3 linked regions of the Danio rerio genome follow. The protein of the gene in region 1 interacts with the protein of each later gene in a biochemical or structural test. Links are inferred from orthologs where the notes say so. Each region holds a gene or a part of one and is shown in the gene's direction. Other genes may lie near its edges.

Region 1 (4,141 bases):
CTACCCACTGCGCCACCGCGTCACCCCAAGAAAATTCTGAATAAATAAAAAATTATTTATTTATTAAAATGATACAAAATGAAACCATTTATTAACAAACAAATTTGTATGTAATTAAATGAAGATTATATTTAAATAATCTAATAATAATAAATTATAATTAGAAAAAAAAAATCCTAAATCAAAATCAAATAAATTACACGTTAAATTGTTAATATGAAATTTATTTAAACAAACAATAAATACATGAATTACATTAAAATGATGAAAAAAATGTCAGAAGCAATTAAAAATTAATAATAAATGCATCACAAAAAAGCAGAATTAAATAAATAAAATTAGTATAATTACAAATGAGTATAAAAATCAATTAGAAATATAATTAATAAATCAATACAATGATTGCATAAAGTAAATTAAAATAATATTTGGTACATTATTTAAAACAATTAAAAAAAAAAAAAAAATATATATATATATATATATATATATATATATATATATATATATATATATATATATATATATATATATATATATTGTTTCAACTGCAAAGCGATGGGTAGTATAATCGCCTCACAACAAGAAGGTCGCTGGTTCGAGCCTTGACTGGGTCTGTAGGTGTTTCTGTGTGGGGTTGCATGTGTTGGCGTGGGTTTCCTCCGGGTGCTCCGGTTTCCCCCACAGTCCAAACACATGCGGTACAGGTGGATTGGGTAGGCTAAATTGTATGTTGGTGAATAAGTGTGTATGGGTGTTTCCCAGTGATGGGTTGCGGCTGGAAGGGCATCTGCTGCGTAATACATATGCTGCATGAGTTTGCAGTTCATTCCGCTGTGGCGACCCCTGATTAATAAAGGGAATAAGCCGAAAAGAAAATGAATGAATGATATCTAATATCTAATATTTATGTTTACACTACATAAGCTATGGGTGGTTATACAAGAACCATTCATGACTGCTAGATGTTTATTTCTGGCATGAAGATGAACATATTTGGAGAAACCACTGTTTTAAAAATGAAACAGAAAGTATCTTGACCTAATTTACTAAATACCTCAGTTTACTCACATCTACAAAAGCAAAATCCCCTACCACCCGAACGAAGTTCCTACAAACTGACGTCAATAGTGAACGCGCATGAAGTGTCCTCCTGAACTACATATCCCATGAAACCCAGCGCCGCGGTGGCTGACGGTATATTGGAGGGCCGCGCTGTGACAGCGGAGCTCTATCCGGCGAGCGCTACTGAGCAGACTCAATCTAGTTAACCATGGCGGCGACAGGAGGAGGGAAAATCAGATCCAGAAGACACCACATTGCGTCAAAACCCTACGCCAAAGGCAAACAGGTAAACAAAACCAACATGAAGCGCCAACAGCGGGGAATGTAACGGTTATTAACGGAACCCTAACCAGCGGTTTGGCGGCGGGTTTTGTTTTTGTGAAGCAGGAGACATTTTGAGGCCTGTTTTAGGCCTGTTCACGTTCTTCCAGCACACGCTTTCCACACCGCCAACTCATTTGACTGATAAAACAAAGCCACTCGGTGAGGAAAATACTCGAAAATATGGCGACTGAGAAGTGAAATTTGAATGTGTTTTCACTGAGGTGAAGACAACCGCGTGAACGCGTTTCATACCCAAACCGTTAGCCGTTAGCTGCGGCTAGCACCGGCGTCAGATATAATCACTTCAGTCCAAACAAACCATTAAAACTTGGTTTTCGTAGCGAACGATTTCCTATTTAAGTTCTTTATACTCTTACTTTGACTACATAACTCGCGTGTGTCGCTCAGAGTGACTCCACATGAGAGTAATGAGCTTCAGAGCACTTTTTGTGTGCGTGTTGTTATATTTGTAAGTTTTAAGCTTGGTTGATGATCGTTTTGGATGTGATTAGAGATTAATATAACGGTATGTTTTGGCGTACATTATGCTGCTTAACGCAGTGGGGTTTGACATCATGAAGAAAGGCGGGATGAGCGAGTGTGTGCGTGTCGTGGCGTGTTTTCATCTGCACATCACACACACACTGGAAATCCTGCACTCATGTTATTTCATAAAGAACGTAAAGGTGTTGTGATTAACACAGGTTCGTGTGTGTTTTCATTAACAACAATTTTAATTAGCCTTATAGTGATCCTGAATTCATCATAAACAGTTATTCTGATAATTCATAACCTAAACACTATGAATCATAGTTGAAAATCACTTTGCATTTTTCGTGATATTACTAGATTATCTGTTTTAGGCAAATTAAGTGGGTTAGAGAGGCACATAAGCTATTTGGCAGTCAAAAACGCATTTTCTTTTGTGTGAGGTTTAATTAGAAGTTAGAAATAGTCGATGCATAGTGTTATGTGTAGGATACTGTAAAAATGAGACTGTTGATGTATTGAAAAATCATGAAATAAACTGGTTCGTGTTCAGCATGGTCAAAGTGTGTATTCTGGTATATTTAGTAATTAACCCCACGTAGAAATGCAAGATGTGAAGGCAGTTTAAAAGTCAGGGCGGTACATACTCGTATTTTTGTTGACATTTGTGCATCATTGCGCCTTGTTTTTATTTTCTACTGTCAATAGATTAATTGCACAGTATATTCTTTTTTTTCCCAATGAATTTAAGCCCCTCATTAATAAGGTTTTAAAACTGCATGTTCCAAGCTTAATAAAAAAGCAAGCACTTTATTGAATCTAGCTTAGGGTACATTAATTATGTTTATGCTGATCTATTAAAACCACAAGAAATTTTGTATTCGCCATGATCGGCCTGTAGCTCTCTGTGACTTACTGAAGAAATGCTGTGTGCTCTAGTTAAGTATGCTCATGTTTATTAGTGTTGTTTTGACTGTTAAATACTTGCTCATGCGTAAATATGTTATACACATACGAATAACCTCTCTGCTTTCCCCAAATCACTTTTTATTCTTTACCTGGTTACCTGAAAACAAAGTTTTTTTCGTTTTTGTTTTCTCCCAAAAAAGCCACATTTTACTGGACTGTCCTGCTTTTAATGATTCCAGAAGACTTTTTTTATGAAATTAACTCTTTTAAGGACATTTTTAACAAGGTGAAACTAGAAAAGATTTTAGAATTTCTATCATGCATCAACACTAAAAATCCTATTTAATTTATGTATTCTTTTGTTTGTTGACTTTTAATTGTGTATATATATTGTTGAAAGGTTCCTGCTATGAAAATAGCCTTAGTTGCTGAAATGGCATTAGATAAATACATTACATTACATTCCCAAAAAAGCCATAGTTGTAACCTCTTTATAAAAAGTATGCTTTGTCAGGCTTATAAATGCTGGGGCACACCAGGTTTACGCCTTACAACTAGCGCCAATGAAAACCGTTTGTAAGATGATTTGTTTTATTACTTTGCTTCGCAATAATCTGTTTTGTTGTTCAATACATGAAAACCGAACTTCCGACATGCACATGCAAAGTAGAGGTGTAAACCTACACTGGCCTCACGGTTCGGTTACGATTATCATGCCATCGATTCTATTCATTTCGATATCTCGGTGCATCACTGTGCATTGTCTGCTTTTTATACTTTATATGTGGATGTTTTGCATTTTCTGATTTGTTACCCTAATGTACAAGTCGCTCAAACTTACTCATTAAGATGCGGGAACCGGCAGACGTGCAACAGCATTAATCATAAACACAAAACTACAGTTTCCATCCGGAGCGACTTCACAGACTCTCGACACTTGTAAACACTCACTCAAACAGGTTGGCGCGGATCTCTGTCTCACCCACACTGGTCACAGCTAACAAGCTGACCTATTACAAAGCTTGTACTATGCGTCGTTGTGAAAGTATAGTTATATTTCTTGAGAAGTGTGCGGCAGCCACTGCGAGTGCTATGCAACTGCAAAGGCTGCACTGGAGCATACAAGTGCGCTTGATGAAGAAATGTAAATCAGCCTTAATTGTCTGCTTGCTACATTACTTCAGTTTTTATTTTTGCACTCTGATTGGTTGCTGAATAACCAATCAGATGCTGACCTTGCCCTGTAATCTTCAACATAAACCCGACAATACACAACGTGGAACACACCAAACCAACTAGCGAGATTGACGGCTGATGCAACCCTTTTCACAAGCCTGTTATGAGATGTTTAACA
Region 2 (3,652 bases), on another chromosome or scaffold:
CTTGTGCCGTCATGCACCACCAATGGGCTAAATTCAAGACAGGCTGAGATGGAGCTCCCAAGCCGCACACCCAAACCTTGCCTGACCGTGGAGGAGGTTAGCAAACTGAGTTGTAATGTTGTAACTTAGTACCTTTTTTTAAATACATGGCTTCCTGAGCATCTTTCTTTTGATTAGGCATTGAGAGAGAGTGATCGAGAGCATTATAGGAAGCTAGTGGAGATGGCATCTGAAAAATATTCAAAGAGCAAACCATTGCCGTTTGGACGGATAAAGCCTTCCATGTAAGCACATAAATTATATATGTTTTTAAATCACCACAGCTTAGCTGGTGCAAGTTAACACTGTTTTCAATCAAATCTTTTAGCACCGCTTTCCCCATTGATGGACACAAGGTCAGTGGACACACCTCCATCTGTCGCACTACTGACTTGAACAGACCTGCGCCAGTAAGAGGTGAGAGTTTATTTAAATTAATCTTCACTGTTATTAGAACTTCACATTTTTTCATAAGTGTTTGATGAAGAGTTCCATTATACTTACATTTTCTGTTTGCCTAATTGCCTTAAGTCATCCCTAACATTTCTATGTGGCGGGATCCACTATCCCTGACGCAGATTAAAGACAGGTAATACTTCAACATGCCACATAATCCTTATATGCGTTTGCTGAATGCAGAAAGATTCATTTCTGTTTATTTTTCAACTGTGACAGAACAGTGGATGGTCATCGAAGCACAACAGGAAGTGATGTCAAGGAAGGAGCCTTGGATAATCAAACTACACGAAAAACCGTAAGTGCTTGCTTCATGTGCTGTAAAGTGTCATGTGAAATCAAAATGTACAATGTTTATTTTGCTAGCTCACGTTTGTTACTCTTAAAGTGAACAATTAATCTGTGCAAGTTAATCTACTGAAAAAAAGTTAGTTTTATTAAATCAATCAAAGTTTGACCATTTGCTCTTACCTTTGGAGTGGTGATCCTTCTGTTGAGGTCAGTAGGAGGGTTTCCATAGCAACTGTATATTAATATCCTTAACCACACCCCTTTTACCATTAGTTTGCTATGAGGGAGTGATGTGCAAAATGAAAGCCCCACCCCCTACTCAATATTTTGTTACAGTTGGAAGTACATACTGAAATGAAGTCTCAGCATCTTCTGCTTTACACTGACTGAAATTATTATTTTGCAGACTAATAATAACGTAATTTTCTTTTTTAAATTATTTATTGTTTTCTGTGTATCTTAGGCCTGTCACAATAATCAATACATCAAGTTATCGCACAACACATGGACATGATCTCTATATCTATTGGAGGTGTCAGTGTGGTTAAAAAAAACAGTATAGTATTTACTGTAAATGACTTTAGTTCATTTTCATGTGGGTGTCTGACAATTGATCGCAGCATCTGGTACTTTTTACCTTGCACTTTTTATTATTGATTATTTAGGATTATGCGTTTTTACATTCTGATTCCAATGCCTAATTATTAAATTGTTAAAATGACTAATTAAAATATTTTTAGGAATAAAATATGATGTATTCTTTGGGAGAGTATTCTTGCGTAATGATGCTATTATATTGTCATTTTGGCATTGTATAACGAGCTGCAAAAATGTCTTAAAATTACATTAATATTGTTTATCGCGATATATTTTGGTGCAATGTATCATTCGACAAAAAATAGGTATCGTGACAGGCCTAGTGTAGCTGTATTTTGACCACATTTTAAAGCAACATAATGCAATAATGGCTCCTTGTAGTGTCTTTTTCTCCCTCTAACACCTTCTTTCTCACCTTCTCTTCAGGCTGTAGATGTTGATCTGTCAGCTGAGGTTGAAGCCAGGTTAAATCTGAAGGACAAGGATTCTGCTGTTGGACTTCTGATACCTTCCAGATCTGAAGTGATTACAGATGCAGTGAGGCGTGGTGAAGAGGAGTTTCCCAGACTGACCAAGGTTGTTACGGTCACCTCAGTCTCTCTCAGATTGATGTTTTAGTGGGTTAATTCTACTTTTATTTTCAAGATACTTGCATGAAAACATTTTTTTATTACTGGAAAATATTTCAAACCTGTTGCTCTAAACTTTAATTGCTAAAAATTCAAATTGGGCTGTTTTGTGCTCATTTTAAATTTTTTTTTTTAATCACATCCACTTATTACAGATATAAGCAGTTGCATTGACACTGAAAAGTCATGACTTTTACTGTCAAAAGTCATGACTGCCTGCACTCACACTGCATTACATTTCAAGCCGGAGCACGCTTACAACATCGATGATACGACTGTTCAGTTTAACAGGAATGAAAGCGCTCTCGCTCAGCACAGTGGACATTGCTTTAGTTATATAATGCAGAACAGATTCACCACTTTTGACGCTCATAAATTAGCATAAATTTCCTCGTGCATCATGTATTAAGAGGTTTCCTGAAGGTGCAGCAAGAGGGGTTTGCATCTTTGAGAAACTAGGACAGTTTGCGTTCATTGAAAAGTAAGAATGATTAATAAATCCATATGAAAAGTGAAGTTGTGTCTTCAGTTTTACGCTCACACTACAAGCCTACCGTGCCTGAGCACAACTGAACCACGCTCTGGCACACCTCCTTTAACCAGGCCACAGCCAGCCAACTGAACTGCACCTGGGCCCGATTCAGAGCACTCAAACTTTTCAATCAAACCGGGAAACGTGCCCGGGAATGTTTCGGTTAACCTAGTGTGAGTGCGCCCTTAATTTCGAAGAATTTTACAAATAATTTTTTCTATGAAAATACTCTTGATAAACTAATGATTTAATTAAACGTTGATATCACTAAAGCGAACTCCTTAACAAGAGAAATATTGTAATGTAAACCTTTTTTGTTGTTATTGTTGTTGTAATACAGTGTATTTGTTTTCACTCATGCATTAGTTGTCAGCTTGGTTGTTTTCCTTGTGGTTTGAGTCACAGTGTTCTCTTTGTGTCCTGTAACAGGAGATGCAGCAGGAAGTGAGTGCTGCTCTTGCTCAGAGTGATCCAAACCTGGTTTTGTGCAGTGCTTTCAAACTGCGTATCACACAGAGAGATCTGGCAACACTACAAGAGGGCAGCTGGCTCAATGATGAGGTAATGTCATTTTAAGGGTTTTATTCGAACAACACAAAATGTCAGTACAGTTATTTACTGCATAAAGTTAAAATTTCATTTCATTATTAATTATTTCCCAAATGATGTTTAACAGAGCAAGAAATTTTTCACAGTATTTCCTTTAAGATCTTTTTTTTCTAGAGAAAGTCTTTTTTTTTCAGCTAGAATAAAAGCAGTTTTTAATAAAAAAAACCAAAAAAACAATTAAGGTCAGCATTATTAGCCTCCTTAAGCATTATTAATTTTTGATTGTTACAGAACAAACCATCCTAATACAATGATTTGCATAATTAACCTGACTTGCCTAAATCTAACCTAGTTAAGCCTTTTAATGTCACTTTAAGGTGAATACTAATCTTGAGAAATGTCTAGTAAAATATTATGTACTGTCATCATATCAACCGGCTAAATTCACTTGTGCTTTTTTTTGCAAAAACCTCTCAATCCACCTATTAAGACAATACAGTTTAATTAGTTGAAAATCACTAAAGATGCAATTAGAAATTATTTTATTAAGCACAAAACG
Region 3 (4,409 bases), about 2.7 Mb from region 1:
TTCCCGCAGGAGCCCAATCCTGAAGACCCGCTGAATAAAGAGGCAGCAGAGGTTCTGCAGACGAACCGGCGACTCTTCGAGCAGAACGTCCAGCGGTCGCTGCGGGGCGGATACGTGGGCGCCACCTACTTCGAGCGCTGCCTGAAATAGTCCCGCGCCCGCCGGCCCTCACGTCCGAGAATGCATTTATCGTTTACATGCGCTGAGATGTACTGACCGACACACTGACCGCTCTCGGGTGTGCGGGACGGTGGCGAGCGTTCACAGGCTGGTCAGTGGTTGTTGCTCAGAGAATTCAGTCGTATTTCGCCACTATGCTGGTACCCACTGTTTATTTTTTGCTGAGATTCACATGCTAACTCATCCTCCACTCAACATGAGCGTGCGCGGGGCAGACACACACACACACACACACACACACACACACACACTCACACACACTTCTCTATTCCATCACCCAGCTTGAGGACTGATTGGTTTGGGCTTGAGACGGCCGCTGCCCCGCGCCGCACACATCAGCCGTGTTCAGTCGTCCTCATGTCTCTGTCTGCCAGATTCTCTCAGTATCGGTTGTGTTTAGCGCTGCATTTGACCAATTCCTGATCACATTTATAAATTGATGGCCGCTGCATTGATCGCCGGCGGTGCACAGGCGGCCGCTGGGATATGTGTGCTGATTGGCTGTTGGAGAGCGGGGGGGCGGGTCTGCAGGACGGGGCGGGTTAGCGAGGGTTGCGTAATGTTACAATTCTGTTGTGTATATTAAATCCCAGTTGTTCACGATGACTGCAATATGAATTATGTTAAATAAAATATTGACTTGAATGCCTACAGTGATGGAGGAGTGTCAACTACAGCCTCACACACACACACAAACTGTCTCATACACACACACAAACACAACCTCACACACGCTTTCTCACAGACACACACACACCATCTCACACACTGCCTCTTCTACAGCAATAATAAACTGAGCACACTGAGCAGGAGCGCTGTTGTGTGTGTGTGTGTGTGTGTGTGTGTGTGTGTGCTTCTGCACAGGAAGCTGCTCTAGAACTCTCCTCCGCTCGTGTGTGATCAGTGTTCCTCAGGCTGAAGGGCTCATGATCACGGCTGCAGTACACTATGCTGAAGTACACTGAAGACCTGCTTCCTGTTCCCTGTGTGTGTAGTGTTCTGCAGAGGGATTGGGACAGCTATAACGAGCCCTCAGTGTGTGTCATAATAGTGCACATCTGCAGTTCACTTCATCAAAGTGCTGAGTAATGATGACTTTGCGCCTGAAGGTGCTGTTCCTCTAGTAATCAGTGTGCCGTGGGAATCACACCACACGCTACCCCTGATAACAGTGCGCTCCGTGTCTTCATCATCTGCTCTTTCTGACCCACACTCGGTCTGACGGGCTCTTGTAATGAACGCAGTTCTCCACACTATCGAGACGCTCCCTCAGTAGGCAGCAGAGCGTCATGATGCTGCGCGTGGGCGGGACCTGTGACGTCAGCGCGTGATATCGTTCCGCGGGCGGGAGTTCCGCGCGGCCTTTTCCTCGCGACAGCGGCTGATGAGCAGAAGCGGTAACCGCGAGAACGGCTCGGCGCTTCAGCATTAGGCGTGGACCGACCGACTTTACCGACCGACTGCACTCGTTCTGCCCCCGCGGACCCGACAGGATGGAGCTGATCACGATCCTCGAGAAGACCGTGTCTCCAGGTAAGCAATCCTCACACGCGCCTCTCCCGCGCACGGATGCCGTTTCTCCCGCGTGATGACCGGGGCTGAGCCGCTTCCCCGGGTGTGAGCGACGGTTAGCGGGCGGCTAACGCAGCGCAGGCCCGGTCGCTGAACCGCGAACGCGACGCGTTAATCTCCACCCGTCGAGTGGCGAACAGCAGCCGGACCCTCGGCTCGCCAGAGCAGGAGCGGGTTACCGGCCTGCTCGGTGTGTCCGGTCTCTGCGCGGTAACGAGTGTTAATGATCAGAGTTCACACACCGACACACGGCTCTACTTCATGGTCGCGCACATGTCGCGCCGCCGTGGGGTTTGTCCCGCCCGCGCTTCTGTTGGTAAAGTTGTTAGCAGTTAGCATGCTAGTCAGGAAGTGGCTAGGTGTTAGCATGGCTAGCACTCAGTCATCCTGTGCCGCTGCCTCTGAAAGTTCGCGCGTGTACGGCCGTGTCTAGTTTACACCGACTCTCCTCCCGCTCGGAGCCCGGTAAAGCGCTGTGGCCGAGCGCGATGCGGAGTTTCCCGGTTCTGACGCGCAGCTCCGCGTTTGGCGGGAGAGTTTCACAAGCGATCGATCAGGGAATTGACTGATGATTGTGATTGATTTTCAGATCGGAATGAGCTGGAGGCGGCACAGAAGTTTCTGGAGCAGGCGGCCATCGAGAACCTGGTGATGAAGCACACACACACACACACACACACACATCAACTGTCTCACAGACACACACACACTGTACTACTGTGTTGAATTGATAGTGTGTAAATTGTTTCTGGACCAGGACTCTGTTGTGTGTGTGGATCTCAGTACTGTGCTGAGATCAGCTCCAGCAGACCACTGGTTCTCCTACAGGTGTGTGTGTGTGTAACTCTGTGTTCTGCTTCTCAGCCGACCTTCCTGGTGGAGTTGTCCAAGGTGTTGGCGAACCCGGGGAACACACAGGTGGCTCGCGTCGCCGCCGGCCTGCAGGTCAAGAACTCTTTGACCTCTAAAGACCCGGAAGTGAAGAGTCAGTACCAGCAGAGATGGCTGGCTATCGACACCAGCGCACGCAGGGAGATCAAGAACTACGTAAGGATGCTGTGTGTGTGTGTGTGTGTGTAAGAGAGAGAGAGAGAGATCTTCAGGATGCAGGAAGGTAAAGTGTGTGTTCACAGAGATCAGACACACACTCCTAAATGATGGCGGTATTTGCTCAAACGGGCTGGACCAGCTGTAGAATGTGGATCTGCAGGAGTTTAGTACTTTCACTTACAGTAGTGCAGCGCTCAGCTTCCCCTGATCACTGACGGAGCATGCTGGAGTGTGTGTGTGTGTGATGTTGATGTGAGCGTCAGCATGGGGAACTTGAGTATTCATCTTGAAGTCCTCATGGCGGTCACTCTGCTGTTCTGAGATCAGCCTTTACAGCAGCAGGAGTTCAGTGATGATCAGCTGTGGTGAAAAACTTCGCTCAGTTTCTCCTGAACATCACTGCAGATGATTATAGTTTAATATTCAGGAAACCGCAGCACCTGAACACTACACCTGCAGACAGCCGTGTTCATGATGGAGGCATCGTGTGTGTGTGTGTGTGTGTGTGTGCGCGTGTGTGTGTGCACCGCCACTGCTGTTCTTCTGCTGTGCAGACAGGCCTGTGGAGGTTTAATGGAGCTCTGTGGTAGAGCGGGTAAATTGAGCTCTGGGCTCAGCTGTGCTGTTTAAGGCCCGACTGAAACACCTGCATTATTAAAGGGCCATGAGACCCCCTCGTTTCAGCAGGGTGTTTTCACACCTCTACTCTGGAAAAAGTCAGAAAAGTGGGCGTGTCCAGCTCTGTTTAGGGGGGAGTGTCGGAGGAACTAAAGTGGGAGGGTGTGGGAGTGTCTATTTGGGCACGCGCGAGTTTCAGAGTCAAAACACACACAGTAGAAAGTGATGGTGTTTAACCTACATGCACATCTGTAGTCGAATTATTTGCCAAATGATTAAATGCTGGACTTTAACTGCAGTTTGGCTCTTTCATTCAGGGAATTCATTCATGTCCCTCGCGACAAACGAGATATGTGATTCGAGGAACTGCTCTAAGCGTGTATTTTTCATGTAATGTTTGATCCCGCACGGCGAATGAGAGAAAAAAAACTCAGCATTTCCCGGAAACTTAAATGCACTCGGCAGGTAGTGTCAGAAAGCCGCGTGTGTTATTCCGGTCACTAAATGCGGTCACAAAATCCAACACGAGGGTAAAGTTTGGTTGTGGTGCTAACGTGTTTACACTCGGTGCAATAGTTTGTTAGATATAAACAAAGAGCGCTGGTCGCTCACTTACCAAACCTGTAGAGACAGGACAATCACCAGCAACTAGAGCCGCGTCTTTATTTAGAGGAGACTACAATCCGGATCTCAGCGTTTGCAGATGAGAACAGCTCTCAGGTAAACAATAATCCTCCTTAGACACGTAAGTTATTGTTGTCGAGCGTCGCGTACACTGTTAATCCACACGTGAGTCCAGCTGCGCTCTCACAGAGAGAAAATGAAAACAAAACTTCACTGCAGCAAACTATTAAAGCAACACTTCACGCTTGTTTTGCCAACACAACGTGGCGTCTCTGTCGTGTAAACATGGTGACAGTAATGAATATTAATGAAGTTGCACAATAGAGCGCGCTGATTGGTTTGAACCAAGCCTTACTCATGCATTA

Evidence for each region.
Region 2: the proteins of nup153 (region 1) and senp2 form a complex in vitro, tested with the Homo sapiens proteins (2 studies listed by BioGRID). The link is inferred for Danio rerio from reciprocal best matches to the Homo sapiens genes NUP153 and SENP2.
Region 3: the proteins of nup153 (region 1) and kpnb1 form a complex in vitro, tested with the Homo sapiens proteins (4 studies listed by BioGRID and IntAct, with this or other methods). The link is inferred for Danio rerio from reciprocal best matches to the Homo sapiens genes NUP153 and KPNB1.

The regions. Positions count from the first base shown.
Region 1 is NC_133194.1:48,945,406-48,949,546, reverse strand, and holds the start of nup153 (nuclear pore complex protein Nup153), read left to right. Parts: upstream 1-1,196; 5' UTR 1,197-1,273; coding exon 1,274-1,351; intron 1,352-4,141. UniProt on the Homo sapiens protein: Component of the nuclear pore complex (NPC), a complex required for the trafficking across the nuclear envelope. Functions as a scaffolding element in the nuclear phase of the NPC essential for normal nucleocytoplasmic transport of proteins and mRNAs.
Region 2 is NC_133181.1:12,367,008-12,370,659, forward strand, and holds part of senp2 (sentrin-specific protease 2), read left to right. Parts: coding exon 1-96; intron 97-177; coding exon 178-284; intron 285-367; coding exon 368-456; intron 457-570; coding exon 571-628; intron 629-714; coding exon 715-793; intron 794-1,809; coding exon 1,810-1,959; intron 1,960-2,973; coding exon 2,974-3,105; intron 3,106-3,652. UniProt on the Homo sapiens protein: Protease that catalyzes two essential functions in the SUMO pathway.
Region 3 is NC_133194.1:51,598,197-51,602,605, forward strand, and holds the start of kpnb1 (importin subunit beta-1), read left to right. Parts: upstream 1-1,521; 5' UTR 1,522-1,673; coding exon 1,674-1,713; intron 1,714-2,341; coding exon 2,342-2,400; intron 2,401-2,616; coding exon 2,617-2,799; intron 2,800-4,409. Other genes in the region: si:ch1073-205c8.3 (NEDD8-conjugating enzyme Ubc12), read left to right, coding at 10-150.